2 linked regions of the Pelodiscus sinensis genome follow. Each later gene encodes a partner of the first gene's protein in a complex. Links are inferred from orthologs where the notes say so. Each region holds a gene or a part of one and is shown on either strand. Other genes may lie near its edges.

Region 1 (15,821 bases):
AGCTGACCTTCAGCTGACAAAATAAGTTATCAAAATACATCTTGGCATACAGTTACGGATGTTAAAGAGCAATTATTTGGTTAATTAGGAAGTCAATACAGTTTGTATCGACTACACAATTAGTCAATAAGGGGGCCCCTCTGCAGAGCTGTAGTGTGGCTGGCTCCTGGAGCTGGTGTGAACTGGGACTGCTCAATTCCGGCTCACACCAGGTCCAACAGTCCATTTGCGGCAGCCCGGGCTGGCCCTGGCCATGGCCAGGAGCTGCTCTGCCTGGGCTGCTGCAAACGGGCTCCTTCCAGAGCCGCCTCCCCTATCTCCTCCCCTTTTCACCCACCCCCGCCCGACTGATAGAGGCGACAGGGGAGGGCAGGCAGCACCATGGAGACCGTACTGGGAGGAACTGGCTTTTAAGCTGGCCCTCCCCAGCACCGACTCCTGCTCTTTTCCCCTCCCGCCCTCCTTGCTGCCTCTCATTCAGGGGCAGCAGGGTGGTGGAGAGAGGTGAGTAGCTGAGTACTCCACTTGACTACTCAATAAGCTTATGCTTATTGAGTAGTCGATTACTTGCTTACATCCTTACATGCAATACCTTTTATTTTTCCTTTCCTAGGTAGTTAACAATATTTAGTAAATTGCAATGGGTCACCCAGTTGTTGGTGTGAATTAACAATATTGTACCATGCTCCACCTAGAACCAAGGGAAATGTCTTAACTTTTTTCACTTTCAGATTCTACCCTCTAAATTGCACTTTTTTTTTTATTTTTATTTGTAGCTGAGATTATTGACAAATTGACCTTGACGTTCAACCGTACCCGTCAAGCCGTCATCACCAAGGAGCTTATTGAGATCATTTCTGGTGCTGCTGCTCTGTAAGTATCTGTGTAAATGTGTGACAAGGTTTTTTCCCCACTCATGTCGCTTGAATGTTCATACGTTTCCTGCTGTTTATATTGTAGTAACTGGGAGGGCAATGGAACAGTGGTTCTAAACTAATGATAAAAATGATGCACTGATAGTTGAAGAATTATTTATTCTGTTTAATAAATTCTAGTGACTGGTATGATGCTTAAAGCCTGCATTCAATTCAAATTTTGCCTCATCTGCTGGCCGTTGGCAAAGCTTCTGTAGGCATGAAGCTGCATTGTATTTATGGGAAATGGCTCTTTTCCCTGCCCCTCCTGACTCTCTATTGGATACCCATGTCTTCTCCATTCTGTGGGTGTAATTACCTGGGCCTTTTTACATCCACCCTTGGCTCATACACCCCCAAAGCTCTCTGTGATGCAGTGTAGATTCTTGGTTTGTGGCAGCCTACATGGTAGATTGGCCTTTCCTCTGAATGGACCAACCTGTTGTGTAGTGTAGAAGGTGAGGGATAACTTTTATTGCTTGGAACTTTAGCTTGTTCAATGTAAATATGCATTTTAATTAAATGGAACCAGTTAAGCTCTTGTGTATTTTGCTGACAAATACCGAACTTTGCCACTCTGCTAGGAACTGCAGAACACTGTATGCTATGGGTGATAAGAGGTGGTTGCGCTTAAACCCATATAATTGGTTTACTTGTATAGATGCAATATAAATTAATTCTAATCAGCAGATTAGACTTGTGTTCTAATTAAAGATATAGATCAATGCATTCATAACTAATGTATGTACAAAAATGGCTGGAAAACATCTTGTGCCACAATTGCATGTGTGCGCGTTTTTAATGAGCTGCTTATGTATTTAATTTGTCTGCTAAGTGACGCATCCTTGGTTAAATCGCAAGAATAACTTTTGCCTTAGTTTGCATGAATTGCTTCTTAACTTGCGTGTTCTGTTTTTTCCCATAACAATATTACCAGGGGATAATCGGAAAGCAAGTTTCAGCCAAAGCTAAGAGGTAACGTGATGAAGTAGAAACTAGATTCTTTCAAAAAATGTTTAGGCACATTTTTTCATTTAACCTTTCAGAATCATCAGTATCTGAACTGCAGCACTGAAATCTAATTTTTTAAGTGCCCTTTTCTAAACTTTTGGAGCAATCATTTGGGGAGTGATTAGTATGGACCCATCTGTAATTAGAGTGTAGTTAGCTACTGCCATAGAAAATTGTTTTTAAACCTTAGTATTACTGTGTGTTGCAACCTATGAAATAGGTTAATAATAGTGTGCCTTATGGTTCTAGAGAGCTTTAATGCATATAATCTGTGGGGAAATTAAAAGAACAGAAAGTGATCCATATGTCACACGATGTATCCAAATCACAGACTCTATTTATGGTTTAATTCAATACCCTTCCACCACTGAACTTGTTTTTAAACAAAAATCATCAGTTTTAAGTTATGGCACCACAAGCATACACATTTTACAGATACAGACAAAATACTGTTTTATTCCCTGAATAATTTACAGTAGTTAAAATGCAGGAATGCATAGATAGATAGATTAAAAGGGTGATGAAAGAAATGGTTTTAAAGAGGAATTGGGAGAACTGAGAAAACGTTTGAAGTGAGAATTGTTCAAAACTCATGGGGGAGCATGAAAAGACAATGGCGATAATTTAATATAAACACATAAAGATACTCTTGATATTTGTGTAAACTTGAAATATTTCTTGTATTCTTATAGGTGAAGAAAAAAGGAGCTATTCTAGAGAGTTGGTTTAACCTGCTTATATCCATATTGACAAAGCTGTTGGTCCATCATTCTGTGAAGAATTCATGGGGAAAACCCAAAATATTTGTAAATTATCTTACAATAAACCACTTACATGAAACAGATGTTCCTGTTTTTTTGTGTGTGAATATCTGGATCAAAGAGAATCAATTACTTTTTGAAATCAGCTGTTTACTGCTTGTATTCTGTTTGCTGCATGTAGTGTGTAGGTGGATTTTCCTTAGAGAAGCACAGGAAATGTGATTCAGAGAACAAATTATCTAATGTAATCTGGTATTCTCAGAGGACGTTCAATGCTTCATGTTTCAAAAGCAAGTATAAAGTCTGTGTAATGCATCTGTTCATTAGCCTAGTACAATAAGGGAACATGCACAAATTCATTTGCATTATATTATCCTACAATGTTTTAGGATTTGTTCTTTCCGATATACTGTCCCGTTGGTCTTGTATTCTAAAACATAGTTCATCGCAGGGATGGAAGCGACTAGTCGTTCTCTCCCCTTCCCTCCCCACCACTGCTGCTTCTATTAGAGAAAGGCAGCAAGACGGGGGAGCAGGTGACAGTGCTCGGAGGAGCCAGCTTAAAAGCCGGTACCTCCAGCACCATCTCCACAGGGGAAGTAGAGACACAGCGAGAAATGGCGCGAGCAGGGACTGAAGTAGTCTCCACTTGTGCCAGTTTTGCTGCAATTCTGCTTTTGAAATGTAGAAGAGTCCCGGTGGCACTCTTGTACATCTCAAAAGCTCTGCACTTGTGCATTTCAAAGGCTGAGGTGCCACAGGGAGCACGGGACCTACTACCCCGTGCTCCTTGCGGAGCTTCCGCTTTTTGAACTGTAGCAAGAGCCTGGTAGAGGCGCCCTTATCGACTAATTGAATAGTCGATGGAAATCCCATTGACTATTCGATTAAACTAAATTTAACATCCCTAGTACATCAGCCACTCGTACATTTTTATCAGTGGTGTTTTTTAATTAAAATACTGTCTAGAGCTGTGCATTCCTACATCTTATTAGTCAATAGTGTCAGTGTGAAAGGAGACTTGTTATTGTAGTAAGGAATTTTGAGAAGTGTAGAATGCACTGGGGGGGTAGGAGGTCTATATGTGTGGGTAGCATGAAAGAAGGAACAACAGAAAAGAAAAAAAAGAAGGAAACAGCATTGAAATGGTGTGAGAAGATCAGAAATAAATTACATTAGTACTGTTGATAGAAACAAAACCTTGAAGATCAGGATTGAATCTGGAGAAATAGACAGGAGAGTAAGCCCAAGAGACTTGAAGAGAAAGATGCTACTGAGTGTCAGAGGAAGAATTTAACTGAAATGTTTGGATAGACAAGAGAGGGACCAAGTGAGAAATTGGAAAGCCAGAGATGAACCAGTTTCAGTGATCATGCAATATGATTAATCTGTTCCAGATTAGATGTATTTTTTTAAATTAGTACTGAGGCTGCTGGTCATGTTTGATGTGTTACCAACAGTGACTTTGACTAATGATGCTCATAATTGGCAACTTTAACAAGTCCCAGGGAATTTTCTATGTGTGTTTTTTATAAAGCAGCCAAAATCTGGTGGGCATTTCAGTCATGTGAGGTGAGGAGTCCCTAACCCAATGGGCTTACAGTCTAAGTCCTCAATCCATTTACACTCAAGTGTAACTTTACTCATGAATAGTTAGCTCCTTTCTTTTTTTTCCCTCCCTAAAACCACTAGCTAATTGCCTGTTCCTTGCCCCTGACATAAGTTAGTTTAGATGTAAATACTTTCAAACTACAATCTAAAAGAAGAGTTTAGAAATCATTTGCTGCACTTGGATGAAGGGGGCAGGTGCAGCTGCTTAAATGGTTGGAAATCAATTTCAGGAGTATTCTGATAGATATTAGAGCATCACCTATCCTGTCTTTTTTCAAATACAGTAGGGTTTATGGGTAGGAAGAGATTTTTTGACTCCACAAATCTTAATATGAAAATGTTGCCACTATCCTACCTGTTCCAGTGCAGGAATTTATAAGGAAACTAAAACCAATGTTTTGCTTGTTTGTAACGATTCTATTGCACTACATTTATTACAAACATATACAATAATTAACTTTAAGAATCTTAATTATTCTGCAAGGTTGTGACATGATCAAATGTCTTTTGCTGTTCTGAAGGTTGTTTTACTCAAACCTAGTGATCAAAAATTTCCACTCTATTTTCTCTAGAAAGTGCCTACAAAGTTACACCTTAGTAAGATGAAAAATGGAAGTAGTCACTGGTCTGGTATTAGGTTGGTCCTTGCAATCCATTCTCAGTTAATGTATTCAGTTGGATTGCCTAGGATTCTAACCTGGCCCATTCTATTTCCCCTAACCACACATCCTGCTGACTCAAAACTTTGGTAGACAAACTGCCCTTGGTCAACAAATAAGGAAAATGAAAGAGTCCTCACTGATGTTTAACTGTAGAATGCTCTGAGAATTTACAGAATTTTAAAATGTTTGGTGCAGAATTACCCCAGGAGTGTTGGGTCAACCCAGTGACTGTACAGACACTGTGTCACTCACATTGACTAGTGCTGCCTTTCAGAAACCATCCCTCAATGCTCCACAGTGGCAGTTAAATGAGTGCAAGGACTCAAGCTGAAGATGCACGCAATGTAGGGGTGGATGTGTAAAACCACTTTAATTACTTGGTGGCTATATGTGGATGTAACAAAGGTCAGCTTAATTTTGTAGTGTAGAACCCATGTCCTAGTCAAATGCCATCCTGAATAACTGTTTGCTCTACATGCAATTCACTGTGCACCCTCTGTAGATGGAGATCAGCAACATGCACAGAAATGGGAAGGTTTTGAAGTACAAGGAACTTAGTGAGAAGTTGCCTAAGGCCAGGGTCTGGGATTGCTTCTTGAGTTTGATATTTTGGAGGAAAGGCCACTTCCTGGGTTAGACAGAAGTGCTGGCAGAAAAGCAGAGTGGATGGGGATCTGCTGCAAAGATGACTGTTACTGTAGCATGGAAGAGAAACTAAAAGTTATAAAGTATCCAGGAGAAGAATAGAAGACTAAAAAACAATAGAGAGAGACTGTTACAAGTAGCCCTCTCCTCACTTCAAGAGACACCAGACCCTCCCTTTCAGAAAAGGCACACATGTCAGAAATAGAGTGAATTTATAAAGGAATGGGGAGAAAATGGGCTTTTCTACAAAACCCTTTCCAGATTTCAGCATATAATGGGGCTCCTACCACTTTGGTGAAAGTTGAGTCAAGCCTAGCACATCTGTCACTGCATCTTCCCAATATTTGATCTAAAATGTATTCTTTATTTTGGCCCCTAACTCTTATGTACCACATAAAGGCCCCAGGCCTTCAAATTGAGCATGGGGCTTTGCTGCAAAGAAGGCTGGTGCAATTTTAAACTATATACTCAGTTACAGAGTACCGCATATCTTTGGTTACCTGTTAATCTCGCATTACATTCCAGAAAGCACACCACAACCATAATACAGTAAATATTCTGTTATATGCCACTTAATTAACTGGAAAGCTCAACTGGCATTTCTAATATCTGCTAACAAAAATATTCAGTCTAGTAACAGACTAGTATATGGCCACGCCCAGCACATTATGCAACCGCATATTCTACACTCTACTTTTATGCCAAAAAAGGCAGAAGACAAATAAGTAAGCTGATGCAGTTTCTAGGGCATGTCATTACCAGTTCAGCTCAATCTCCTACACTTTCTACAAACATCTACAATGATAATTGATATTGATGACCCTGAGGCACTACAAGATCCTGAAGTGCCTGCTGAATCATTGAAGATTAAATTACATTTTGTAGAGTTTTATATTAAGTGTATTTTTAATGAACTGGGATGTATGTCATGACCTGCCAATTGTCGTGTAGTGACACAAAATAACTTTCCCTGCATACACCTAAGTGCTTCAAGGAACCAACCACTCTGCAGTGCAATACATCAGGCTTGGTGAGTACCTGAATACTATTATACTTTATTCATTTTATTGTTTTCTAGTTCTTTGAAAAGTGGTATTCCATAGATAAAATAGAACTGTTTGTTAAACAGAATATTCAATTAACCAGCACCCTCCATTCCACCAGTATGCTGATAACAGAGCTTTTACTGTATTGTCAAACGGGGGGAGCATTCAAAGAATAGTAATAAAAATGACCAGAGGGCTTAATCTGAAAGGGGAAAAAATTAAAGGAAGGAGAGAAGGGACATAACAGAGAACCCCACTGAGTGCTGAATGAAGGGGAGGGAAGTCAAATCTTTTTTTCAGGAAAAGTTGGATTTGACAAACTATTTTTTTCTGAAAATGCATATGCTTTCCAAAGAATTTTTAAGTTTTTTAAAATAAAAATAGTATTTTTATTCTGAAATGCCTACAGTCTGCCTTACAAAAATTATAGTTCAAGTTCCCTGTGCTCCCCTTCTCCATAGGCCAGGCTCTGCATCTGAACATTTCCTAGGCCACCTCTTTCCAAGAGATCATAGGAGATGTACCCTGATGCATGAGCCCCAAAGAGACTGGGATTGCAAAGCATCTGATCTGTAACCCCCTCAGACACAACAACAGCATTTCTTAATCAAAGTGTTTCATATGTTTGAAGGGAGGGGGTAGCAGAAAAATTAAACCACTTGCTCTATTGCCCATAAGACAAATATAAACAAACCCCAAATGCCTCCCTTTTAAAAAAAGGCCATGCTTTTGGGGTCCAGACTAAAGACTTTTTAACCCTTAGGATTGCTACTACAGCTCCTCATACCATGCTGATACTGCACTGACTAACATCCCTCTTCTGCAGGCTTCTCTTACCACAAACTTGCACAAAGTTTCTCTGTGCATTGTCTTCTCTAGTTTGCATCAGTTTCTAGCAGGGCTGCAGGTCCCTCTTCACTCCCCTGTCACTGTCTGATCCTTACCAAACAGAGCACTGCAAATCTGGACGAAGATACTTGCGGCTCACTTTTGCAGATAGGGAGGCGGACACCCAGTTTTGTTTGTAGGACCCTGCAAATTTGAGGATATCCACTTTATATCCCCTGGTACTGTTTGCAGATGCAGGTACCAATGGTGTAGCCGGGCAGGGCTCTACCCATAGAGGTACAGAAGGGTAGCCGAGTTACTCTGTAGTTGAAGTTTTTCCAGTAACAACTAGTCTTGCAGCCCCTTAAAGACTATCAAAACACGTGGATGGTAGCATGAGCTTTCGTGGGCACGCACAACCCACCTCTTCCAACAAAGGTAGCAGCTGGTATTTTCCCAGTTGAGTCTCAGGCTGTTAATTCCCCTCCCCCTAATACTTTCCCGTGCGCCCGTTTTCCCCCTGCGCCTTCCCCTACTCTCCCTGGGTCTCTGTCTACCAGCTGAGCGATCCCCCCGCCCCGCCTGCACAGCCAGGCCGGCTCGGCCCCGCTGGAGGCCAGAGCAATCGATCGGCCGCCCGCCCCATCGACGCGCTCGGGGGTGGAGCGGCGCGGCCTGCCTGCTCCCGGCCGGCCGGGAGGCGCGACCCCAAGATGGCGGCGTTGGCGGCAGCGGGCGCCAGGGCCTGCGCGTGAGGGGGGCCATGGCGGGCTCCGGGCCCGGGCCGCGCTGAGCCGGCCGGGATGTGCGAGAGCTACTCGCGGTGTCTGCTGCGGGTGTCGGTGGCTCAGGTCTGCCAGGCGCTGGGCTGGGACTCGGTGCAGATCTCGGCCTGCGACCTCCTCACCGACGTGCTGCAGCGCTACCTGCAGGGGCTGGGCCGGGGCTGCCACCGCTACTGCGAGCTCTGTGAGTGCCGGGCCGGGGGCCGCCTCTGGCATTGCGGGGGAGGGGAGCGGGGGGCTGAGTCAGTGCGGGGCGGGGCCTCCCCTGCCGGGGCAGCCTGACCCTGCCACAGCAGAGGGGATGGGAGCCATGGAGACGGGGGCCAGGGCTGCCACTGCCCGTTCTGTGAGTGCAGGAGTGGGGGAGCCATGGAGATGGGGGCCGGGGCTGCCACTGCCCGTTCTGTGAGTGCAGGAGTGGGGGAGCCATGGAGACGGGGGCCGGGGCTGCCACTGCCCACTCTGTGAGTGCAGGAGTGGGGGAGCCATGGAGACGGGGGCCGGGGCTGCCACTGCCCATTCTGTGAGTGCAGGAGTGGGGGAGCCATGGAGATGGGGGGCCGGGACTGCCACTGCCCGCTCTGTGAGTGCAGGAGTGGGGGAGCCATGGAGATGGGGGGCCGGGGCTGCCACTGCTCACTCTGTGAGTGCAGGAGTGGGGGAGCCATGGAGATGGGGGGCCGGGGCTGCCACTGCCCACTCTGTGAGTGCAGGAGTGGGGGAGCCATGGAGATGGGGGGCCGGGGCTGCCACTGCCCACTCTGTGAGTGGGGGAGCCATGGAGACGGGGGCCAGGGCTGCCACTGCCCATTCTGTGAGTGCAGGAGTGGGGGAGCCATGGAGACGGGGGGCCGGGGCTGCCACTGCCCATTCTGTGAGTGCAGGAGTGGGGGAGCCATGGAGACGGGGGGCCGGGGCTGCCACTGCCCATTCTGTGAGTGCAGGAGTGGGGGAGCCATGGAGACGGGGGCCGGGGCTGCCACTGCCCACTCTGTGAGTGCAGGAGTGGGGGAGCCATGGAGATGGGGGGCCGGGGCTGCCACTGCCCACTCTGTGAGTGGGGGAGCCATGGAGACGGGGGCCAGGGCTGCCACTGCCCATACTGTGAGTGCAGGAGTGGGGGAGCCATGGAGATGGGGGGCTGGGGCTGCCACTGCCCATTCTGTGAGTGCAGGAGTGGGGGAGCCATGGAGACGGGGAGCCATGGAGACGGGGGCCGGGGCTGCCACTGCCCATTCTGTGAGTGGAGGAGTGGGGGAGCTATGGAGACGGAGGGCTGGGGCTGCCACTGCCCATTCTGTGAGTGCAGGAGTGGGGGAGCCATGGATGGAGGGGGCGGTGTCTGCTACTGTAAGCTCAGTGATTGCAGGGAAGAACATGGACGGGGTCTTGCTGGTCCAGGGCTGCTGGTGGCTTCACTGTGAGTGTTGGGTACGGGGCGAGTTGTGGGGACGGGGATGTAACTGCCTGCTCTGTGAGTGTAGAGGTAGCCAGACACAGTGGGACTACTGTTGCACATTCTGTGAGTGTAGCGAGGCTGAAGCTGTCACTGCCAGCTGAGTGCTGAGGACATTGTGAGAATTGGGGTTGGGCAAGAGCAACCACCCTGGTGAGTTCTGTGTATGCGAGGTTAGTGCAGGGTGAGGGATGGACCTTAACAAAGATGCTAATTACCTTAACCATTACAAAGATAGCTTCCTCACTTATCACCCCTGATTAACCATTCATCGACTCATAAATAGCTATTCCGTCCTTCCCTCTCCCTCACCCCACCTTCTGTACTAAATCTGATTTGTCAGTTTAATAATGTGTTCACTTTTTTCATTTTATTCCTTTGATATATATGGCCATGCCAATTCTCTTCCAGAATATGATCTGAGGAAGCATGGCTGTCATACATGACTGCTCTCTCTGAACATGGGGAGTCAAGGGGAATGGTGGGTCAGTTCGGGCTCTGGGAGTGTCACTGTAGTGTAAGCTCAGGGAGAGCTTCTGGGAGGCACAGTTGTAGTGGAGTCTGCAGAGGTGAGTAAAGATCCATGGTCACTTGGGGGCTGACAGTGCTAATGGGAGTTGAGGAGTGGGGGCATCACTGCTGCTTTGACTCCAGGGTCCATTGGGATTAGAGGGCTGAGACGCCAGGGATGACAACCTCCCTATAAACTGTAAACCCAGAAGGATGGGGGGGTATGTGGATATTGTCATGCTCTGAGGGTTTTTCTTGTTTGCCACCAAAAGTTCTCAGATTAAAAAAACAGAGGAGCCTTGGGACCATATGTTTTTTGGCTACCTTCAGGGGTTGGACTGAGCCTACCAATAGTCATGAGAAAAACTTTAGGTTCTTTTTTAGGAGGGAAAGGGAAGCGAGAGTGCATAGGGTGGTACCCATATGTATCACCAATGCAGGGATTTTACAAGTGCCACAATCATACCTCTAAGTTTCGCATATAAATGCTAAGATGAATGGTGCTGTATAAACATGTATAATAATTGTAAGGTAGAATCTAGGAGATCAGGGAGCATCCGACTGTGGAATAAAAGAGAGGACTTAGTTACCCACCTGAAGTTGGGTTGGACTTATTGTCAGTAGTCTGATCCATGTGAACTTGGTGTGAAGCAGATGTATTATGGGGGACAATATCTTTACACATGGACCAGAGTTGCCACTGTGAGAGTGCTGAGAAGCTTGAAAACAGAATTACCTTCCAGGGCTTAGCCTATATTTCCATAGCCACCTTGAGATTTGTGAGGCCGGGGGAGGGCTATATAATTAGGAGTTGGAGGCACTGTAATCTACCTTCTTATTTCAGCTGCATAAGGGGTGTGAAGCATTTACTGCGACTTGGGAACAGGGCATATTTTCTTGATGAATGTATGGAGGGGAAGGGAGCATTGTTTCTTCATTACAGAGGCACATGCTGTTATAAGTGGCGTATGTGGTATAATGTTTTTTTATATTCTCTGCTTCACGCTGATATTTTTCTCTCAGATGTGACTGTCAAAAGCACATCCTATTACTCAACAGAACTCTCACCTCCTGAAGTGTATTCAGACTTGGGGTTGCTTTTCACTGTGTAAAACTTCTACTGTACAAAACCAATTCAAGTTTGAAATAATAAACTAGATTCTTTTGTGGTTCTTGCATGATAAAATAAATTATTAATTAACTTCTAGTTGTAGAGTCTTTGTTATTGATATGTTAGCCGGAAACTAACCAGTTTGACCCTTGGATCAGTATGACTTAGCAGGACTGTCAGTTGAGTTGTTTATTTGGAGGGGGATGGGATCTTAGCACTTGTAAACTGAACAGATTGGATCTTCAGTAACTGAGACACAATAGTTGTATACTATGGTTCTACACTGAAAAATGACTGTAAAATCAAATAATAGAGTCCATATTTTCTCAGTTAACAAGCAAATGATGACTTTTCTGACAGTGCCAATTATTTTCCATTTGCTATATCACATCAAAAGATGTCTAAATATATTCAGTATTTTCCTAATGTTACTTTTCTAGGTAAGAATAGCTATAGTTGTCAGAGATACTGTGATTTCCAATGGGATGGGAGATGTATTACGAATTAATGCATGCGTGGTCAGGACTAGAGTTTAGAACAGTGGCTGTCAGTCTCAGCAGTCACAGCAAAAGTCAGAGGTCAGGAATAGAATCAAGAGTTAGAGCCAGAGTCAGGAATCTGGTAAGGAAAAAGCAGGTCTAGAGTGGACTCGAGCCAGGATATAGAAATAAGGCAAAAACAGGAATGATTGTAGCTATGGGTGAAAGCACTGAGCAGCCACTGGTGCAGGGCCACATTGGGCTTAGCTCCCAGCCCTGGCTCTTATTACATTTATAAAAGGCAGAGACGCAGCAGGGGACTGGGTTCAAGCCGGGAATCAGCTGTCCCAGGTCGCACCGTCCCAGATGCTGCAGCTCTGCAGTTAAGCAGAGGCACAGTATCTGGGACTGGGCATGAGCCAGGAATCATCTGGTTCCCAGCTCCTGCCCAGTCCCCCTCTGCACCTCTGCCCCCCTGTGGAGACGGTGCTGGGGGGAATCAGCTTTTAAGTCAGCTCCCTCCTGCACCGGCTTCTGCTCCCTCCTCTTGCTGACTCTTATAGAGGCAGCAAGGGAGGGAAGCAAGCATATGCTTATTGGGTCGTCAACTACTCGACTACAGGCAGTCCCCGAGTTACGCGGATCCGACTTATGTTGGATCCGCAGTTACGAATGGGGCTTTTCTTGCCCCGGAGGACTGGAGCGGCGGGACGCCCAGATGCGCTGCAATCCCGCCGCCCCCGTCCTCCGGGGTGAGAAAAGTTGCTCCACGTCTCCCTCGTCTGCTGGGGGGGAAACTCCCCCCCAGCAGACCAGGGAGAGGCGGAGCAAAGCCGCGGAGCACGCCCGCAGCGTGACAGCCCGGGCGCGCCTGGGCTGTCCCGCTGCGGGCATGCTCTAAGGCTTTGCTCCCCGTCTCCCTGCAGACCAGGGAGACGCAGAGCAAAGCCGCGGAGCACGCCCGCAGCGGGACAGCCCGGGCGCACCTGGGATGTCCCGCTGCAGGCGTGCTCCGCGGCTTTCCTCCCCGTCTCCCTGGTCAGCAGACCAGGGAGACAGAGCAAAGCCATGGAGGACACGGGCGGTCCCGCCACCCGCGTCTCCCTGGTTTGCTGGGGGGAGGGTGCAGCTAGTGCCCCTCTTTTCCCCCCTCCCCCCCCAGCAGACCAGGCTTTTCTTGCCTACGCCTGGGGTAGAGCTGCTGGGGCGCTGCCGGGTTGGTCCTGCAGCGCCGCTCCTTGGCACTACTGTACCAACCCGGCAGCACCCCAGCTGCTCTGCCCCAGGCGTCCTGATTCAGCGGCTGCTGGTCAGTTTCAGCAGTTGCTGAATCAGGACGCCTGGGGCAGAGCGGCTGGGGTGCTGCTGGGTTGCTCCAGTAGCGCCAAGGAGCGGCGCTACTGGAGCAACCCAGCAGCACCCCAGCTGCTCTGCCCCAGGCGTCCCCAAGTCAGCCACTGCTGAAACTGACCAGGGGCTGACTACAGGAAGCCAGAGGCAGAGTTGCTCTGCCCCGGGCTTCCTGGAATCAGCCGCTGATCAGTTTCAGCAGCAGCTGACTTGGGGACGCCTGGGTTTCTTAAGTTGAATCTGTATGTAAGTCAGAACTGGCGTCCAGATTCAGCCGCTGTTGAATCTGATCAATTTCAGCAGCGGCTGACGCCATTTCCGATTTACATACAGATTCAACTTAAGAACAAACCTATAGTCCCTATCTTGTACGTAACCCGGGGACTGCCTGTAGTTGCTTACATCCATAGTTCACATCCCTAATTATCGTAATTCCTAGGAGGTCTTGTCATGGACCAGGGCTCATTATGCTAGGTCCTGTACACTTACAGAATTGAGAGATGGTCCTGAAACAAGGATCTTACAATCTAATCATAAGACAAGATATAACAGATGGGGGAATACATGGAAACATTCAGACAACAGTGGTGATGGGCAGTGCAGCCTGTTATGAGGTCTTTTGTTGGTTTCCTAGCAAGGGAGACTTTTGAGGAATGATTTGAAGATAGCTTTGCAGTTGTTTATGGGGAGTGCCTCCCAAGAAGCAAGGGCAACATGGACGTGGGCATGAAGCATAATATATGGAGGCTGGTATTGTGTGCTAATTTGAGTCAAAAGAGTGGGGATTGACTATGAAAGGCCTTGAAAACAAAGAGAAGCAGTCTAAGAGAATAGAAAAAGGGTAGCAGGGAATGACACAGACAGAGCAATGGGCTAGGAAATTATCTTTGAGGAAATATTCTGTATAGATCTGAGCAGGAAAAATTGCATTTGTTAAGGGTACAGAGAAGTGTTGCAGTAATCAAGACGCAAGAGTTTAACAGATAAGTAAGACTGTATCTTTAAGATGTTATGCAAAAAGAATTTTCAAGAATTAGACAAAATCTACATGCAGGAACTGAAACCAGAGATGGTATACAGGTTGCAGACCTCATGTGTTTCATACTGTGAAAATGTTTGAGAACCCTATTAAAAAAACAAACAGAAAAACAAAAAAGCTTTCCATATAAATAAGGCTGCTTATTTTAGACTTTAACTGATAAAAACCTTCAATACAAAAATAAATAAAATCAAAATTGGTGGTTTGTCTAATAAACACTGAAAACAGTTACTCAGTTCATGCTGACATCACCCTTTTTCCAGTACAGTTTGTTTATATAGGAGATGTCCCTGATCCCTAATTTGTACCGAAGGGCTTGTCTACATGAAGCAGTAATATGTAATGGGGAGGTTGTGATTTCTTAAGCACATTAATCTATTGCATGTTAATTGGTCCATGAAACACTATTGATGCTCACTAAAGGTTCACTAGTTGGCTTTAATACCATGCTGTTTGAAGCAGTTCTATGTGTATATAGAAAGAGAGCCCCCAAAACTTGGTTTGGATGTTTAACAGCATTTTTAAAAACGTAAAAATACTGTATTCCAAAACAGTTTTTGTTGTGATTTAGGTGTCAGTGCAGAGGAAGCAGTACATGTGAGAATGGAGCAGTAGGTTTCTAAGTTGTTTCATCAGTAGGAACAAGAGTTACCTATGGAGAAACAGTTGCACAACAACATCAGAGTGTGCGTCTAGACAGCACCCTTCTGTTGGAATAAGCTACGCAATTTGCACTATGAAAATTGCGTAGCTTATTCTGAGTCTAGGTCGAAAGAGCTTATTTTGAAATTTGGCACTGTGTAGACCGTGCCAAATTTCAAAATAAGGCACTATTTCAACAAATCCCTTAACCCTCATGAAACCAGGGTTACAGAGATGCTGGAATAGTGCGCCCGCTATTTCGGGAAATAGAAAGTGTGTTTAAAGATGTGGTGTTGGTATTTTGGGATACTTCTGGTATCCCAAAATAGAGTCGCAGTCTAGATGTACTGTAAGTGACTTGCCCAGATATACTACAGAGAGTCTGGAAGCAAAGCTCTGATTCCTAATTTGATGTTTTAACTACAAAAAAGTTGACCTCTATGTTTGCAATAGTTATCATAACAGTGGTGTGTAAAAGAATGGTGTACATCAGAAGGCAGCTGCATCCCAGGATTTATGGGATGCAGCAGCCTTTCTGGATTTATGTAGGCATATTATATGAAGTAGCTTCAGTTGGATGGAAATAGGGATGTAAGAGTTTAACTAGTTAACCAATAAGCTGATGCTTATCAGTTCTGGTTAGTGGTTAAACTCTGGCTGGGGCCGGCAGGGGCTGGTGCCTACTACCCATGGGGCAGCCAGCAGCTTGCGGGGCCGCCAGTGGGTTAAAAAATATTGCCATTTAACTTTTTAACCAATTACATTGTAATGGGTTACACAGTTAGTATTTTTAAACCCTTTTTACATTCCCTCTACTCTGCACTGATTAGGCCTTAGTTGAAATATTATGTCTAATTCTGGGCACCACATTTCAAGAAAGATGAGGAGAAATTGGAGAAGGTCCAGAGAAGAGCAACAAAAATGATTAAAAGTCTAGAAAACATGGCTTTTGAGAGAAGACTGAAGGAAAT
Region 2 (15,896 bases), about 140 Mb from region 1:
GCTGCCCCTTTAAAACACTGCCTTACCTCTATGGAATCTACATGAAAAGCCCTCATCTCCAGTACATGGTACAAATTATCAAGCAGTTTCATTTTCTCTGCACTTACTGTCCTCACCGCAACCTGGAATCTGAGGAATATGAACATGGTCCCTTAATTGCATACTCAGGCCAAGGAGAAACACTTTCATTATAAGGTTCACAATGACATAAATGTTAGAAAAACTGAACAGGCTGAATAATTTAAATCCAGGTAATCTAAAAAAACACTAAGTGGAAAGCCTTTATTTAAATCTATGCTGACCAACTTTTCCTTTTGTACTTCAGTTTCTTTCTAAAGGAAGATAGACTGTCATTGGTTGTCACTATTAAAATGTAAATCTACAACTAGAGCCTTTTCACTAAAATGAATACATATTTAAGCAATTATGTATCTTAATTTCAGACTAAGTATACATTTAATATATTAAACAATATTTACCATTTTCTAGATAATTCACTTTTTGCTCGTGATTTCTCAAGCTGCATTAGGATAGAAACTGGAATTTAAACAAACAGCAGATAAAGTGTTTTACACAATCACCTTAAATGGTTTGGCTATATAATCTTTTATCAAAAGATGTTCTACATTTACAACTGAAACAGATTAAATGTATTCAGTGAATTTAACTGAGTAAATCTGAAGGTGTTGCACTTTTTCTGATATTCATATAATTCAGTCAGAGCTTCACTGAGGCACTTGTTGGTTGCAGTCTCAATTAGGTTTTTATGCATCTATAGATCTTTCAGTTTAGTTGCACTTTTTTTTTCCTTCTGCAGCTTCCTAAGGGGTCACCAACGCGTTCCTGGGACTAAGTTTACCAAGCAATAAAGTCCTACAACTTGCTGGGATAGTGGACCTCATGCCAGCAGAGGAATACAGGCAAATCTGAAGAATTCTCCCTATAAGAGAATCAAAGCAAGGCCTCAGAAGGACAAACTTCACTAGTAAACATTATCGATCTCCCCTCCCCAGAAATTATCAATATAATCAAAAAGGCAACTGTTTAAAGAGCTGACAAGTAGCAGAGGACATCACAAGTCTGTTTTAAAAGGCAAAGCAACTGTTCCTGGGTAGAGTTGACCTACAACAGCATGGCAAAACCGTGTGGAATGGGAGAGGACCACACATTACCAGAGATACCCCTAACTATTAAATACCTTTAATAAAATAAGTAACTCTTTGAAGGTTTCCCATTTCTTCCTTTGCTTTCTAAGAGGAGCCATTGTTATCACTGACAGCCTCTCTCACAGCCCCCAATCTGAGTGGGGTTCAGAATGACTTAGCAAGAACTATGTAGAAAAGCAAGAAGCAACACTTCTCTCCTGTATCCATTAGATCAGTGATTCTCAACTGGGGTCCAGGAACCCCTGGGTGGGCTGTAATAAGGTTAGGTGTGGGGAGGTGGAATCCGGCGAACTAGGCTAGGATTAGACTAGCTGAGACTACCTACAAGGAATTTGGTTACTGGCCTTGTAATAAACAAGAGAAAATTAGTCTATATGAGGTTTTAAAATGACATCCATGGTAGATATGTAGGAAAAGAATAGTTACTACTTTTCATTTCTCTAGCATCTTCCTTTCAAGGATTTCAACCCACTTCAAAGAAGATAATGAATGTATACTCACTTGTGCAATCGGGAAGTATTACTGATGGAAAATTAGGGAACAGGAGTAGGGCCCAAATTTTTAAAGGTATTTAGGTAAAGAGGTAGAAAGGCACTTTTGAGAATTGCCACTAGATGCCTATACACGCTAAGTATGTAAACCTCCCCAAACCCCTCCAGTTTCAATGGAAGTTAGATGCCCAGCATACTTAGGTGCTTTTTGAAAATCTCATAGGTGGTTCTCTGCATCTTTAGCACATAAATATCTTTGGAACTGGCCTTATCTAGTCAAAAGTCAGTAATAGAGCCTGGAACAGAACTCATATTTCTCTGTCAGTTTCAGGAACCTTTTTATAAAAGAAAAATGCCAAAAATTTATTTTCATAGCAAAAAGTAAATCTGAATAAACATTGGGAAATATTTTTATATTTAATCTGGATAAACTGATTACTTTTGTTGGAGAAATACAAACTTTTTCATTTAACAAATGAAAAGGATCATTTTCCTTATTCATGGAGTAAAAATATATAAATATAATATACTCTCCCTGTTTTCCAGTGAGAATATAAAGCTTTTGTAGTTATATATTTAATGTCCTTTCTGTAAAAATATTAAATTCATTTTTATGGTCTGGGGCCTAAGTGTGTCATAATCTGGCTCTGATCATAGAATACTAGGACTGGAAGGGACCTCGAGAGGTCATCGAGTCCAGTCCCCTGCCCTCATGGCAGGACCAAATACTGTCTAGACCATTCCTGATAGACATTTATCTAACCTACTCTTAAATATCTCCACAGATGGAGATTCCACAACCTCCCTGGGGAATTTATTCCAGTGTTTGACCATCCTGACAGGAACTTTTTTCCAATGTCCAACCTAAACCTCCCTTGCTTCAGTTTAAGCCCATTGCTTCTTGTTCTATCCTCAGAGGCCAAGATGAACAAGTTTTCTCCCTCCTCCTTATGACAGACACCCTTTTAGATACCTGAAAACTGCTATCATGTCCCCCCTCAATCTTCTCTTTTCTAAACTAAACAAACCCAATTCTTTCAGCCTTTCTTCATAGGTCATGTTCTCTAGACCTTTAATCATTCTTGTTGCTCTTCTCTGGACCCTCTCCAATTTCTCCATATCTTTCTTAAAATGCGGTGCCCAGAACTGGACACAATACTCCAACTGAGGCCTAACTAGCACAGAGTAGAGCGGAAGAATGACTTCTCATGTCTTGCTCACAACACACCTGTTAATGCATCCCAGAATCATGTTTGCTTTTTTTGCAACAGCATCACACTACTGACTCATATTCAGCTTGTGGTCCACTATAACCCCTAGATCCCTTTCTGCCGTATTCCTTTCTAGACAGTCGCTTCCCATTCTGTATGTGTGAAACTGATTGTTCCTTCCTAAGTGGAGCACTTTGCATTTGTCTTAAACTTCATCCTGTTTATCTCAAACCATTTCTCCAATTTGTCCAGATCATTTTAGATTATGACCCTATCCTCCAGATTAGTTGCAACTCCTCCCAGCTTGGTATCATCTGCAAACTTAATAAGCATACTTTCTATGCCAATATCTAAATCGTTGATGAAGATATTGAACAGAGCCGGTCCCAAAACAGACCCCTGCGGAATCCCACTTGTTATACCTTTCCAGCAGGATCGTGTGCCATTAATAACTACTCACTGGCTACGTCTACACTGGCGCGTTCTCACTCAAAAACTCTTTTTCAGAATAGTTCTTCTGCAAAAACTCTTCCAGAAGAGAGCATCTACAGTGGCATGTGCTTTTGCGCAAGAGATGTGCTTTTGCTCAAGAGCATCCATGCCAGTGTAGACACTCTCTTGCGCAAGAAAGCTCTGATGGCCATTTTAACCATGGGGCTTTTTTGTGCAAGAAATTAATGTTGCCTGTCTACACTGGCCTCTTGCGCAAGAACAGTTGCGCAAAAGGGCTTATTCCTGAGCGGGAGTGTCAGAGTTCTGGCACAAGAAGCCCTGATTTCACACATTAGAACGTCAGTTTACTTGCGCAAGAACACACGGCCAGTGTAGACAGGCAGCAAATTTTGCGCAAAGAGCGGCCACTTTTGCGTGAGATCATGCCAGTGTAGACACAGCCTCTGAGTACGGTTATCCAGCCAGTTATGCACCCTCCTTATAGTAGCCCCATCTAAGTTGTATTTGCCTAGTTTATTGATAAGACTATCATGCGAGACCATATCAAACTTTACCTTACTAAAGTCTAGGTATACCACATCCACGCTTCTCCCTTATCCACAAGACTCATTATCCTATCAAAGAAAGCTATCAGATTGGTTTGACATTATTTGTTCTTTACAAATCCATTCATCATAACAATGAATCTCTTCACACCAAGGCCACAAGAAATAACCACAACCTTCCTCCTCTCAGTTACATCAGCATAAGTGTACTTTGTGATTAGTAGCACATACATTGCTTGAGGTATATGTAAGCTGGTTCTGCTTGTGTCCTGAACTCTAAGGGGAAACAGGGAGGCCTCACCACTGGAAGATGAGCTCTGTTTCATCTTGTTTAAGCTGCAAGACAAAGCACTGTCAGCCAAGAAACCTACAAAAGGAAAACAGAAAATACTGATTTTACAGGTCAGACAGAACAGCTAATGGAGTACCCAGTTGGGAGAATGAACCTAATCCAGAAATAGGAATGGAGGAAACAACAGCATAGTGGGTGCTAAATAAGTCCCCCATATGAATTGGTCTCCATCTCTGAGATTCTTCAGTTTGGGCTTGCGAAAATGACTCTCTGACTGAGCCCAGTTTTGGTTTGTTTAAATCTTTTTACAGACTGACAGAAACATGGCCCATCACATCCACCCTTTATCAAGACCCTTTCTCCCCCAAACCTCACACATCCCTTGGTCCTTTCCTTCAATAAAAACATACCCATTTTTAAAAATTTTTAAGTGGGGGACCATTCCTAAAACCAGATTTCACCCCACAATCCCCTATTTCCTGGTAGAGAAGAAAAGTTCTTGTCTCCAAAAAGGCTGAATTAAGAAAGAGGCTTTAGGGGCTGCAGCCCTGGGTTAAGGGGGCCTTGCAAAAAGATCTCCAGGCTGCCACAAATGCAGATCTTTTTGCAGGGTCATCTTGGCCTGGGCTACAGCCACTAAAAGCCCGTGTTCTATCCCTGCCTGGCAGGGGATGCGGGTTGGGACAGTGGATGTAGCTCTGCACGCTGCCTTTCTTCCTCCTGTTCTCTCTGGGCTGGAGTTGTAAATGCCAGATAGCTCCATCTGTGTGCTTCCCTCATCTGCAGGCTCTGCCGCTCAAACTTCCATTGGAGAGGAATTGCAGGGCAGCATGCAGAGCCACCTGCCCCCTCCCATCTTCAGGGTATGCACTTCCAAAGGGGAACAGGCCCAGGAAGGTGCCCCACACCCCAATTCACCTGCCCCAGACCTGAGCCCCTTCCTATACCCTAACTCCCTTATAGATCCTGTACCCCTACCGCTTGCTCTGAGCCCCCTCCTGCATTCCAAACCACTTAGCCCTAGCTTGGAGCCCGCTACTACACCCCAAAAGCCTCATCCTCAGCTCTACCTGAGCCCAAAACCACATTCAGAGTCCTGACCCCTCCCCCATGCTGAGCCCCTCATTTTTAGCCCCTCCCCAGAGCCTAGGGGCCTCTCAGGAGACTTAATCTGGGCTTGGTCCCTGATACTCCTCAGGAGGCACCTGCTCTCTTTCTACCGCCAAATGTGCAGCAAAGGACACAATTCACAGCATTCTTTAACCAGCCAAAGAAACACCTGTGTAATTGCACCAGCAAAAATAAAGTACCCAGCCCCAGGAGAACAGGCATCCCATTAAAAGCATTCAGCTCTCCAGCACGGGACCAGATAGGAACCAGAACATAATGCAATAGCTTCATTACAATAGAGTGGCAGCATCTGTAAAACATGGCTTTAAAAGTTTGGTCTCCTTCACCCACTCCCCTTTACGGAGAGCAGAAGAAAAGTTCTGGGGTATCAAATCCATCCCCCCAGCTGAAGTGCTATGCCCATGAGAGCCCCTAGAAGGGAAGGGTTCTTCCCTAGAGCTGAGGCTGTCCATGACAGAACCCCTCACGACCCAAGAACAGCTCCGTTTTGGGGTGGGAAGATTCCAGGGGACATTTATATGGCACCCCCTTTACAACCTCTGAGCGCCACTGAAGGAGTCAGTCTGCAGGGCAGAGGTGTAGCCAGCTCATTTTTGACACCTCATTAATACGTATAAGCAATCATTAATATGTATGATTTGCTATGAATATGTAGTAGCTGTTAGGCATGTTAATATAGAAGTTTCTAGGAGTGTTGCACATGGCACGCAAGTAGCTGCACATGTCACACTGTGCTGCTGCATGCAGCACACTGATCCAGGCTGTTACAACTTGTTTATCAAAGCACCCAATCAGGGACCCTTGTTTTCCTGTGCAGGGTCCAATGATTTTAAAGATAAAGATCATGAATATTTATGAGAAGGGTGCTTTGAAGGCCTGGCTAACAGTTGTGTGTGTTCGTTCGCGCCTCCCTTGTTCCTGCTTGTCTCCTGTCTGTTTATGTCAGTCTATAGTTAGTTAGGGTTAGCTAGATTTTATCGAGTGTGTCCGTTAGGATTAGTGCGTTGGTTCACTGCACCAGCGGCCGGGTACTTGTCCGTGACGGGAGCGTCGTGTTAGCTAGTCAGGTTTTGTTTCCAGGTGTTAGGGATAGGTAGCTGTCTATCATCGGTTCCTGCTGAAGCGCAGAAGCCACCTGAAGATCAGCACCAGGCAAGTCTCCACCAGTGATTCCTGCATCTAGGAGCGCAAGGCCCCAGACAAGGATCATCACCACCTGCCTGCACCACACCCATCCCCAGGGTCTCCGAGGGATCGCCTCTCTGTTCCTCACTGAGGGCTCGGAAGGAGCCTAAGGCTTGAGGTCGAGAGCATCGTAGAGGGTCACCACTGCGAGGGATCTCCTCGTCTTTCACCAGAGGCTTTAAATTATCAAAGGTTTGAGAGACAGGAGCTTCTCACCCACTGTCAACTACTGGACTGTGTAATTATTGTATTTTGTGTAACCTTGTGTTTGTGGGGTACTTTTCTATTGTGAAAGTAGAAAGAATTATACTGTAAGAAAAATATGAATTGTGCTGTAATAATTGAATAAGTTGAAGGAATTCTGTTTGTCTTTTTAAGAGGAAGAAGAAAAGTATGTTAATGTTGATTGTAGGTATGCAGATCAAGGTGCTAGCCAATTTGGGCCTGAGTTTAACAGGAAAAGAAACATTAGGTGTTAGACAGGAAACAATTCCAGATAATCAGGGAGATATAGCCAGGAGATTGCTGTGTGCTTAATATTGAAATGAAGAGTACTTGAGTAGCCTCACACTAATTATGTGAAGTTTTGCCCCCCTTTTAATCCTGTTAATTTTGGCTTTCTTTTGACTGTATAAATCAAGAGGTTTGAACCTTGTATGGCACTCACATTTTCTCCATGCATTTTAGCAAAGCTTTGCTGAAATAAACAGAGCAGTCTGCCAAATCTGTGAGTCCTGTCTGACTTTGACACTATCTTCTTTCCTTCTTGAGGTTGGGATAAAAAGTGTTTACCTGCTTTTCCTTGTGCTTTTAAAACTTTTACAATATATGGTTTGGCCCTTTTAAAGAGCAATGTTTTTGTTTACTGTGGCATTCTTGGGTCAGCAAACACCTATGATAGATGAGGTTTGGTGGTATCTGCAACTTCCACTGAGGCTTAATTAATAATCAGATGCAAATGTAGGTACAAGCTTTCCTCAGTGCAACAGAGGGCTGCATTCCCCAGAGGCAATGTTCCCTCTATTTTGTTCCACCAGTGCAGAATTAATGTTGTTATGTACACCAAGTCATTGTAAAGATGTGCACCGCCCATAAAAACACACGCTGCCAGCTGTGGGTGCTCTGCTAGTCAGCTGGGCAGCGTTTGAATCTTTACTGGGCAGCCACCCAGCTTACAGGGAAGACTGCCCAGAGGATGGGAGTTATCCCCCTCCCCACCACTAAACACCAGGCGCATTAGGGGGCTGGGTCCTACTCCCTCCTGCCTGGGCCACAGAGGTTCCCCAGCAGCCCCTCTCCCAAATCCCTGCCCGTTGTACGGGCCTGCGGTGCCCGGGCTGCAGGGATATTCCTAGCCAGGAAGGCTCTCTCCCCCAGCCCCGCTTGCCCCCCTGCGGATCCCCCCCCCCCCATAAGTATCACAGCGGAGCGAGAGCAGTTTCCTGAGGCCAGCTCGCTCCACCCAGCTGCAGGCAAGTCGCTCTGGCTCCTGGGCAGGGGAAGCGGGGGGGATGTGTGTGTCTCCCAGCGCAGCCCGGAGGAGCTGCAGGGGAAGTGCCTGCGGGCAGCAGCCAGCTGAGATAACGCCCCCCCCCCCCTTGGGGAGCTGCTGCTAGGGGGGGGTGCCCCAGGTAAGCCCCCCCTCCTCACAGCTGTTCCCCCACATCCCTCCTCCCCCCCCCCCCCGCTGCACCCCCACTCCCTGCTGCAGGGGGGACAGGCACCGCCACGCGCTGCGCACACCTGCCCGCCGCGGCCGCAGAGACCAGCACCCAGTCGGGCGAGCGGGGCGGGGTGTTGGAAGCAGCGGGCGGGGGCGAGTCTGGTGCCGTACAACAAGATGGCGGCGCCCACAGCTCAGGCTGAGGTGGGCGGGGCTTGGGGAGCGAGGTGCCGCTGCGAGCATGGCCGACGAGGAGGAGGACCCGCCGGTGAGTGCAGCTGCCAGCCCCCGGCGGGGGGGGGGAACCCCTGTGCCCCAACCCCTTCCTGCCAGGGGAAAAGTCTCAGCCTCCCGTTCCCCCCCCCCCTTTTGGTGCTGTGGTCCCTTCCGGCCTCAGCCCCTCCCCCAGCGTTTCCCTCCACGCGCAGGGGCTGCAGCAGCGGCCCAGGCAGGGCAGGCCCCGAGCCGCCTCGCGCCTCCTGCCTCGCGCCTGCAGGCAGCCCCGCTGAGCTGCCAGGGCTACTGGAGGAACAACGCGCTGTGGGGGGGGGGCGCCCTGCGGCACAGGCCCGGCAACAGTTTTTGACCTGGAGCCGCTTCAGAAATGTTTGAATTGGCCTTGGGCTGCCCTGAAAGGGGCGGAGCCTCTGGTGCAAGGGGCGGGGCCAGGACACTTCCCTGCTTCCCTGGACACACACCCTGATTGTTGTGTTGGGGGGGGGGGGGGTGAAGTCTTTGTCCCCAGAGCCCCCCATCCCCAATCATCAACTGTTCAGAACAGTTGGTGGTTCCCTTTAGGAGCCCACCACCTGGTGGTTGGAGGAGACTGTGCACTCCCCCCTCCCCCTTTCCTCCAAGTTAGTTGGGGGGGGGGGAGTGCGTGCACAAAGCCTCCTCCCGCCCTGTCCTGCAAGGGGTGTACAAGGCTTAAAGTCAACTGCCAGCTGCTCAGAGGCAGCAGCAGAAGTTGGGGCGGGTGGGAGGCAGTGCTTGCAGGGTGCTGGCTACTTCCCTCCTTCCCAGCTCCCTGTGTAAACATGTAACTGCTGAAAATGTCAAAGGTTACACGTTTACAAAAGAAAACACATTTTAACATTCTTTCTCCATGGCTGTGTCTAAACTGGCCACTTTTTCCGGAAAAGCAATCGCTTTTCCGGAAAAACTTGCCAGCTGTCTACACTGGCTGCTTGAATTTCTGCAAAAGCACTGATGATCTCTGGCTGCTTGAATTTCTGCAAAAACACTGATGATCTCATGTAAGATTGTCAGTGCTTTTGCGGAAATACTATGCTGCTCCCGTTTGGGCAAAAGTCTTTTTCAGAAAAACTTTTGCGCAAAAGGGCCAGTGTAGACAGCACGGTACTATTTTCCGCAAAAAAGCCCCGATCGCGAAAATGGCCATTGGGGCTTTTTTTGCAGAAAAGCGCGTCTAGATTGGCAGGACGCTTTTCCGCAAATCTAGACGCGCTTTTCCAAAAATGCCTTTAACGGAAAACTTTTCTGTTAAAAGCATTTCTGGAAAATCATGCCAGTGTAGACGTCGTCCATGTGTTTATTTAGGGCTTGGTTCAGGATGTCAAATTTGGGAATTAATTGCAGTCTGTTTTTGAAGGTTTTTTTTGTTTGTTTGTTTGGTTTTTTTTGGCCAGAGAATAGCAATGTGCAAGTCTGAAACTGCATGATATTTATGACATAATTTAGGAGTTGGCAACACTGGAAATACTTTTTCTTGTATCAGCTTTCTCTGGGCCAGGTACAAGCTTTTGAGTTTCATGGAGAGCTCTTCTTCAGGGCTTAAGTACAAATAGTTTACACACTGAAATGGAATCCATAATTAGGCACAGACATATTCCCCACAGTCACATTGGGGGTATGGAGTGGAGTGGGAGATCCCTGTGGGGAGATTGAAATATAGGGAGCTGGGCTTAGGCTTGGCTGTGTCACTAATTGGGCTTGTCAGCTATGCTTATATGTCTGAGTTCCCTCTCTGGTATTCTGCACCACCCTAGTTTGAAGAGGACACTGAAGAAGCTGGAGGAGGCCCAGATGGTGGACAGGGCAAGAGGAAGAGGCTGTTCTCCAAAGAGTGTGAGTTTGCCATCCATGTGTCTGGGTCAGTAAGGAGGTGGACCCTCACCTTAGGCTCTCGGACAACTGCATTTGGCTTCGCTTCTATGGAGGTTATAGTCTATTTTAAATGAGGATATGACTGTAAATCACAATAAGACAGTAAAAGTGACAGACCACAGGAGTTCTGTGAGAGTCTTACACTGGAGTGGATGGGAGAGCTTTCTGAAGTCCATTTATTGGGTCCAAGGCAAAGCAGATGCGATAATGACTGCCAGTGGATCGATTGATGTGATGGAGATGAGCCCTTAGTTTGGTTGAAGAATTTAGTGCATGTTGCTAAGTGTCCTGTATAATGGGGAGCTCTTTCAATGATACCATGTTTTCTGTTTCCCCAGTAAGATGTATGATGTATGGGTTTGGAGATGACCAGAATCCCTACACAGAGTCAGTGGATATTCTTGAAGACCTGGTGATAGAGTTTATCACAGAGATGGTAGGTTCTATTAAGACATCTGCTTACTTTGTTTCTAGACTGTAATGACTATAGAGATCAGTCCATTTAAAAAGAACTCCTAATTGGACAATGGTTAGGAAAGTCCTTCCAGTGGAAGGGACTGAGTTAGTTTTTTAAAGAACCCAAAAGTAGGGTTGGTTTATTTCCCTTAAAAAGCAAAATAAAAAAGTAATGAAGTTTAAACCATTAATAAAGGTCGTCTCGTGCCTGTCTGGTTAAATATCTAATTTGCATTCTGGTGGTCACTAACCCTTCATCCTTCCAAGGTTGATAATCTAGTCTATTCAACACTGTGTAAAACATTTCTATATGGTACTTGTAAAGGGAAACAGTGTCCTGCATGCTCTGCGTGGACTTTAGATTCCATTTCTATTGTAATAGAAGATTCATCTTGTGGTCCTTAGCCAAGGATTCCTGAATTCCATTTTTAACAGAACTATGTAATTCCTCTTCTGGGGTAGAGGAGTTTTATGTACTGTTCTGTTTAATTTCATCTGCTTTCTAAGTACTACCTCTGGAAATGGGACACAGAAAGGGATCATGTTCTCTCCCTCTGGGGCAACTAGTATTGGCCACTGTCGGCAGGCAGGATACTGGCCTAGATGAACAGTTGGTCTGACCCAGTATGGCTGTTCTTCTGTTGTAGCAGGTTTAAAACGAATAAAAGAAAGTTCTTCTTCTTCTTCACACAGCGTGTAGTCAACCTGTGGAACTCCTTGCCAGAGGAGGCTGTGAAGGCTAGGACTATAACAGAGTTTAAAGAGAAGCTAGATAATTTCATGGAGGTTAGGTCCATAAAAGGCTATTAGCCAGGTGATAAAATGGTGTCCTTGGCCTCTGTTTGTCAGAGGCTGGAGAGAGAAGGCAGGAGACAAATCGCTTGATCATTGTCTTCGGTCCACCCTCTCTGGGGCACCTGGTGCTGGCCACTGTCGGTAGACAGGATACTGGGCTAGAAGGACCTTTAGTCTGACCCAGTACGGCCGTTCTTATGTTCTCCTCTCTATATCATTTTGCAGGTTAGGCTTGTTTTCCTGTGCACTTGCTGCTCCTCTGATTTTGATGTCACCTGCCAGTTTGATTATAATTCACTATATACACACACAATGCTCAGTGAAGGCACAAAGCAGCTATGCAGGATGCAGAGATAGGCTTGGCTTATGGATTTTATGTTTTAATTATTTTGACAAAGTATCTTAAAACATAGCACTTATGTCAGTTGCCAGGAAATAAGATTTCATTTAAGAGTTGTGGAGCGGGATGCCTACTGACTAGCTCAATGGATCCTGATCCATGAATCTTGCTCCTAGCTGTATGGTAATTCAAATATTAAATAACTGGCAGGAAACATTGCTGCTTAAAGACTGATTTCACCACTGTGTAAATCAGGGATGGGGAACCTAAGGCTTAGGGGCCAGATATGGCCCCCAACTTGTCTGTATCTGGCCCCTGAGGCTTGGGGCTCCCCTCCTCAGTACTTGGGTGCCTATGGTTGGTGTGCCAGTCCCTCTGTTGTCCCCCCATGGGGCTGGAGCACACAAAATCTACCAGTCTGGACACCCCTGGGCTCTGGTGCAAGAGGGATGTGGGGGGGATTTCTCCTTTTCAGTTGGGGCCATGTCAGTGAGGGATTTGGGGTTTTTTGGTTTTGTTTTGCTTCTCACTTATGTGTGGCCCCCAATTGACTTTTTTTCTGTTGGTCAGTGGCCCCTGGCCCAAAAAGGGTTTCCCACCTGCGGTGTAAATGGATCACCTAGAGAGATTCTCCTGACCATAGCCTAGCTAGGATGGTGGCTTTCAATCTCTGAAACTAATGGTTTTCTCTTCAAAAGTGAGAAGTAAAACTGCTTGTTAGACGGTGCCCTGGCACTGTTTCTAAAAACAGTAAGGTAACTTATAACAGGGAAAAGGGACCATACATTTTCATTAAATCACTTAAATGTTTTTTAACAGACTCACAAGGCAATGTCAATTGGACGGCAGGGTCGTGTGCAGGTTGAGGACATTGTCTTTTTGATCCGCAAGGATCCACGGAAGTTTGCCAGAGTAAAAGATCTGTTGACTATGAATGAAGAACTGAAACGGGCCAGGAAGGCCTTTGATGAAGCAAACTATGGATCTTGATGCATTTGTATGTGCAGAGATGGTAACCTGTAGCCATGTTTATCCCTATACATTTTTAGCATGTTTTTCAATACTGGAAAAACTAACTCCCTACCGACTTCTATTTGTTTTCGTGGCTTTTAGGATGGATCTCAGTGCTGGAGTGTTTGCCTAGGTTTTAGCATTGCCAAACAAGCCTATAACATTTTGTAAACGTCTCTTAATGTATGTATTGTCTTAATGTACGTTTGGGTTTTTTTTTTGGGGGGGGGGGAGGCTTACAGTATTTTAAGAAAAGACAGGAGGAGCCCAAATTAGAAGTGCTTCATGCATATCTGTAGCAACTCTAGTTTTGAGCTTTGCAATCTGTCACATACCAGATGACTAGAAAGCTAAATGGGAACAGGTGCTTGGCATCTGTGCTGTAGTTCTCATTGGTTTCAGATACCCTTCACCTAATCCACCTTAAGTAGATTTCAAAGGAATAATTGAAAACAGTCAGTGCCTGCATCTATTTGTGCTAGAAGGTGTTGATTATAGTGTTGTTACTCAAAATATTGGTATTTGCTTTTCTTTATAGGGGTATTTATGAACAATAAAATATTTTCATGGTTCACTCACTCCTCTTGTTTTGGGTCTGGTTTTAAATATATTCAAGGCACATGATAAAGAATAACTTATTTGCACTGAAATGGTGTATGTCCAGTAGTCTTCGGCCCACAATAGGGTCTTAATCTACTATGAATGTTTTCATGGAAATGGCTTAACTTTTTTTTGTACGCTGCCAAAACTATTAGAGAGGATGCTGACTTCTTAGATTTAGCTTCACAGTTAGCTGTGACTCTAGGCTCACCTCCTATAGATTTAACTGCACTCGAATAGTTCCCGCCACAAAGTATTATAGAAAGACAAGACTGAATTTCCAGGCATTTATTGGTCAAGAGGAAGCAATCGGGGCTGAATAAACAGCAGGCTACAGCTTCCTTCTAGAATCTAGCATAATAGAAAAAGCTTAATGATGCTATTACTTCCTTTAATAACTTTAATTGAATAGTTCTTTGTAATGGTGGAAGATCTAACTGCTCTGGTGTTTCACAGCTGGTTTAATGTCTGAAACATTATACTAGTGGGAGTCTTTTATACTTAGGTTTGAATTCCACCATGGTTGACTTGCCTTTCATTCTTAAGACACAAATTGTTATGTATGTTTTACTGAGTTCTACTGCAGAAGGTCATAAACCGAACCCTTGGTATTTAGTAGAAATACTACAATCCGATGGTATTTCTTTTGAAAGAGTCGGTATTACCATATTTACCCCTCTAGCCCACTGGTGACATTGTGATTGCATAATGATAGCTTTTAAGTGCTATTAAATCTTCTAAAAGAAAGGTGTTAAACGGATTTATAATCTAGTGCATGGTCTCCCCCTGAAATTCTCACTGCAGTCACACTGCTAAGAAGAAATAACGAGCACTCCTGTGGAAACCTTAGACACTAACATATATAGTATCATGAATTTATCAGATGAGTAGTGGATTTTACCCACAAAAGCTCATGATTTTTGTGTGTGTGTGTGTGTGTGTGTGTGTGTGTCTGTCTAAGGTGCCACAGACTAACATGGCTACCCCACTGACATTTTCAAAAAATGAGAGCTTCATCTGAGAGTGGTTTGCTATATTATGTTGCAGGATTACTCAATCCTATTGCCTAGTATTTAACCTTGTAAACAGCCTAGAGAACCTATCAATCTCTATTTGTATGTAAAGAAAATAAAATCACAATGAGGGAGGGGAGGGAATAACCTTTATGCCCGTTTCAGGAGTTGAGTAGTTAATCTGAAAGCCAGATGCCATTAAATAGAAATCTGTTGAATAAAACATGCCCCTCTCTTCCCATACCTCAACAGTCTTTATTTCAAATAAATGTCACTATGACTGTGTCTAGACTGGCCAGTTTTTCCGGAAAATCAGCCACTTTCCCGGAAAAACTTGCCAGCTGTCTACTCTGGCCACTTGAATTTCCACAAAAGCACTGACGATCTCATGTAAGATTGTCAGTGTTTTTGTGGAAATACTATGCTGCTCCTGTTGGGGCAAAAGTCCTTTTGCGCAAAACTTTTGTGCAAAAGGGCCAGTGTAGACAGCCCAGATTTGTTTTCCACAAAAAAGCCCTGATCGCGAAAATGGCGTTCGGGGCTTTTTTGCGGAAAAGCGCGTCTAGATTGGCACGGACGCTTTTCCACAAAAAGTGCTTTTGCAGAAAAGCGTCTGTGCCAATCTAGACGCTCTTTTCCGAAAATACTTTTAACAGAAAACTTTTCTGTTAAAAGCATTTCCGGAAAATCATGCCAGTCTAGACGTAGCCTATAAGTAAATCTACCTTTAAGACCAATGGGCATGGCGCTGTATTCAATGTGAAGTGCACATCTGTGCTGAAGTTCACAGGAAAAGCTAGGGATATTTAAGAAGTAGCACTGAGCATGAAAAAGCAAAGCTACCCCAGCCTTATGTTTTTCTTGGAGGCATTATTGTAAAGGTGGGTTTTAAAGAAGCATGTGCACCTAGATTTTATGTGTATTAGAGTGCCTAGCAGTTCCAGTTGTGGACCCAGGACTCTCTTGTGTCAGGTACTGTATGATAGGAGGGTATTCCTTACACCTCCAGTGTTCCTCTAAGTCAGCGTTTCCCAATTCTATTTGGCCATGGAACCCTTTTAAACTTGAAAGAATTTCAAGGAGCCCCCTAAATAAGTGTCATATATATGGAGCTGAAAAAGTAGACCACAAATAAGTAAGGTTAATAATAAACACATGCTAAACAAGATCATGAGATCAACATTTAGTTTAATCACACATATTTAAACATCACACAATGTGTACAAAAAATAAAGCTCAAACTAATACACATTATATTGGCAGTTTAATACAAACAGTGTTTTTTCTTTTTCTTGGCAAATTCTTTTTATATTTGGCTTAATACTGGAAAGTTGGATTTGCATATCTGGTGCGGCATTCAGTCCATTTCCGTATTTTGTTTTTGTTGCGTAATTTGAGAGCCCAGTTTCACACAAAT

Evidence for each region.
Region 2: TAF3 (region 1) and TAF13 share a complex: the UniProt entries of both Homo sapiens proteins name them as parts of the TFIID basal transcription factor complex. The link is inferred for Pelodiscus sinensis from reciprocal best matches to the Homo sapiens genes TAF3 and TAF13.

Annotation. Positions count from the first base shown.
Region 1 is NC_134711.1:9,750,109-9,765,929, forward strand, and holds the start of TAF3 (transcription initiation factor TFIID subunit 3), read left to right. Parts: upstream 1-8,157; 5' UTR 8,158-8,281; coding exon 8,282-8,447; intron 8,448-15,821. Other genes in the region: ATP5F1C (ATP synthase F(1) complex subunit gamma, mitochondrial), read left to right, coding at 777-873, 1,852-1,858. UniProt on the Homo sapiens protein: The TFIID basal transcription factor complex plays a major role in the initiation of RNA polymerase II (Pol II)-dependent transcription.
Region 2 is NC_134711.1:148,140,579-148,156,474, reverse strand, and holds TAF13 (transcription initiation factor TFIID subunit 13), read left to right. Parts: upstream 1-8,295; 5' UTR 8,296-8,378; coding exon 8,379-8,405; intron 8,406-10,146; coding exon 10,147-10,225; intron 10,226-10,602; coding exon 10,603-10,700; intron 10,701-12,674; coding exon 12,675-12,845; 3' UTR 12,846-13,444; downstream 13,445-15,896. UniProt on the Homo sapiens protein: The TFIID basal transcription factor complex plays a major role in the initiation of RNA polymerase II (Pol II)-dependent transcription.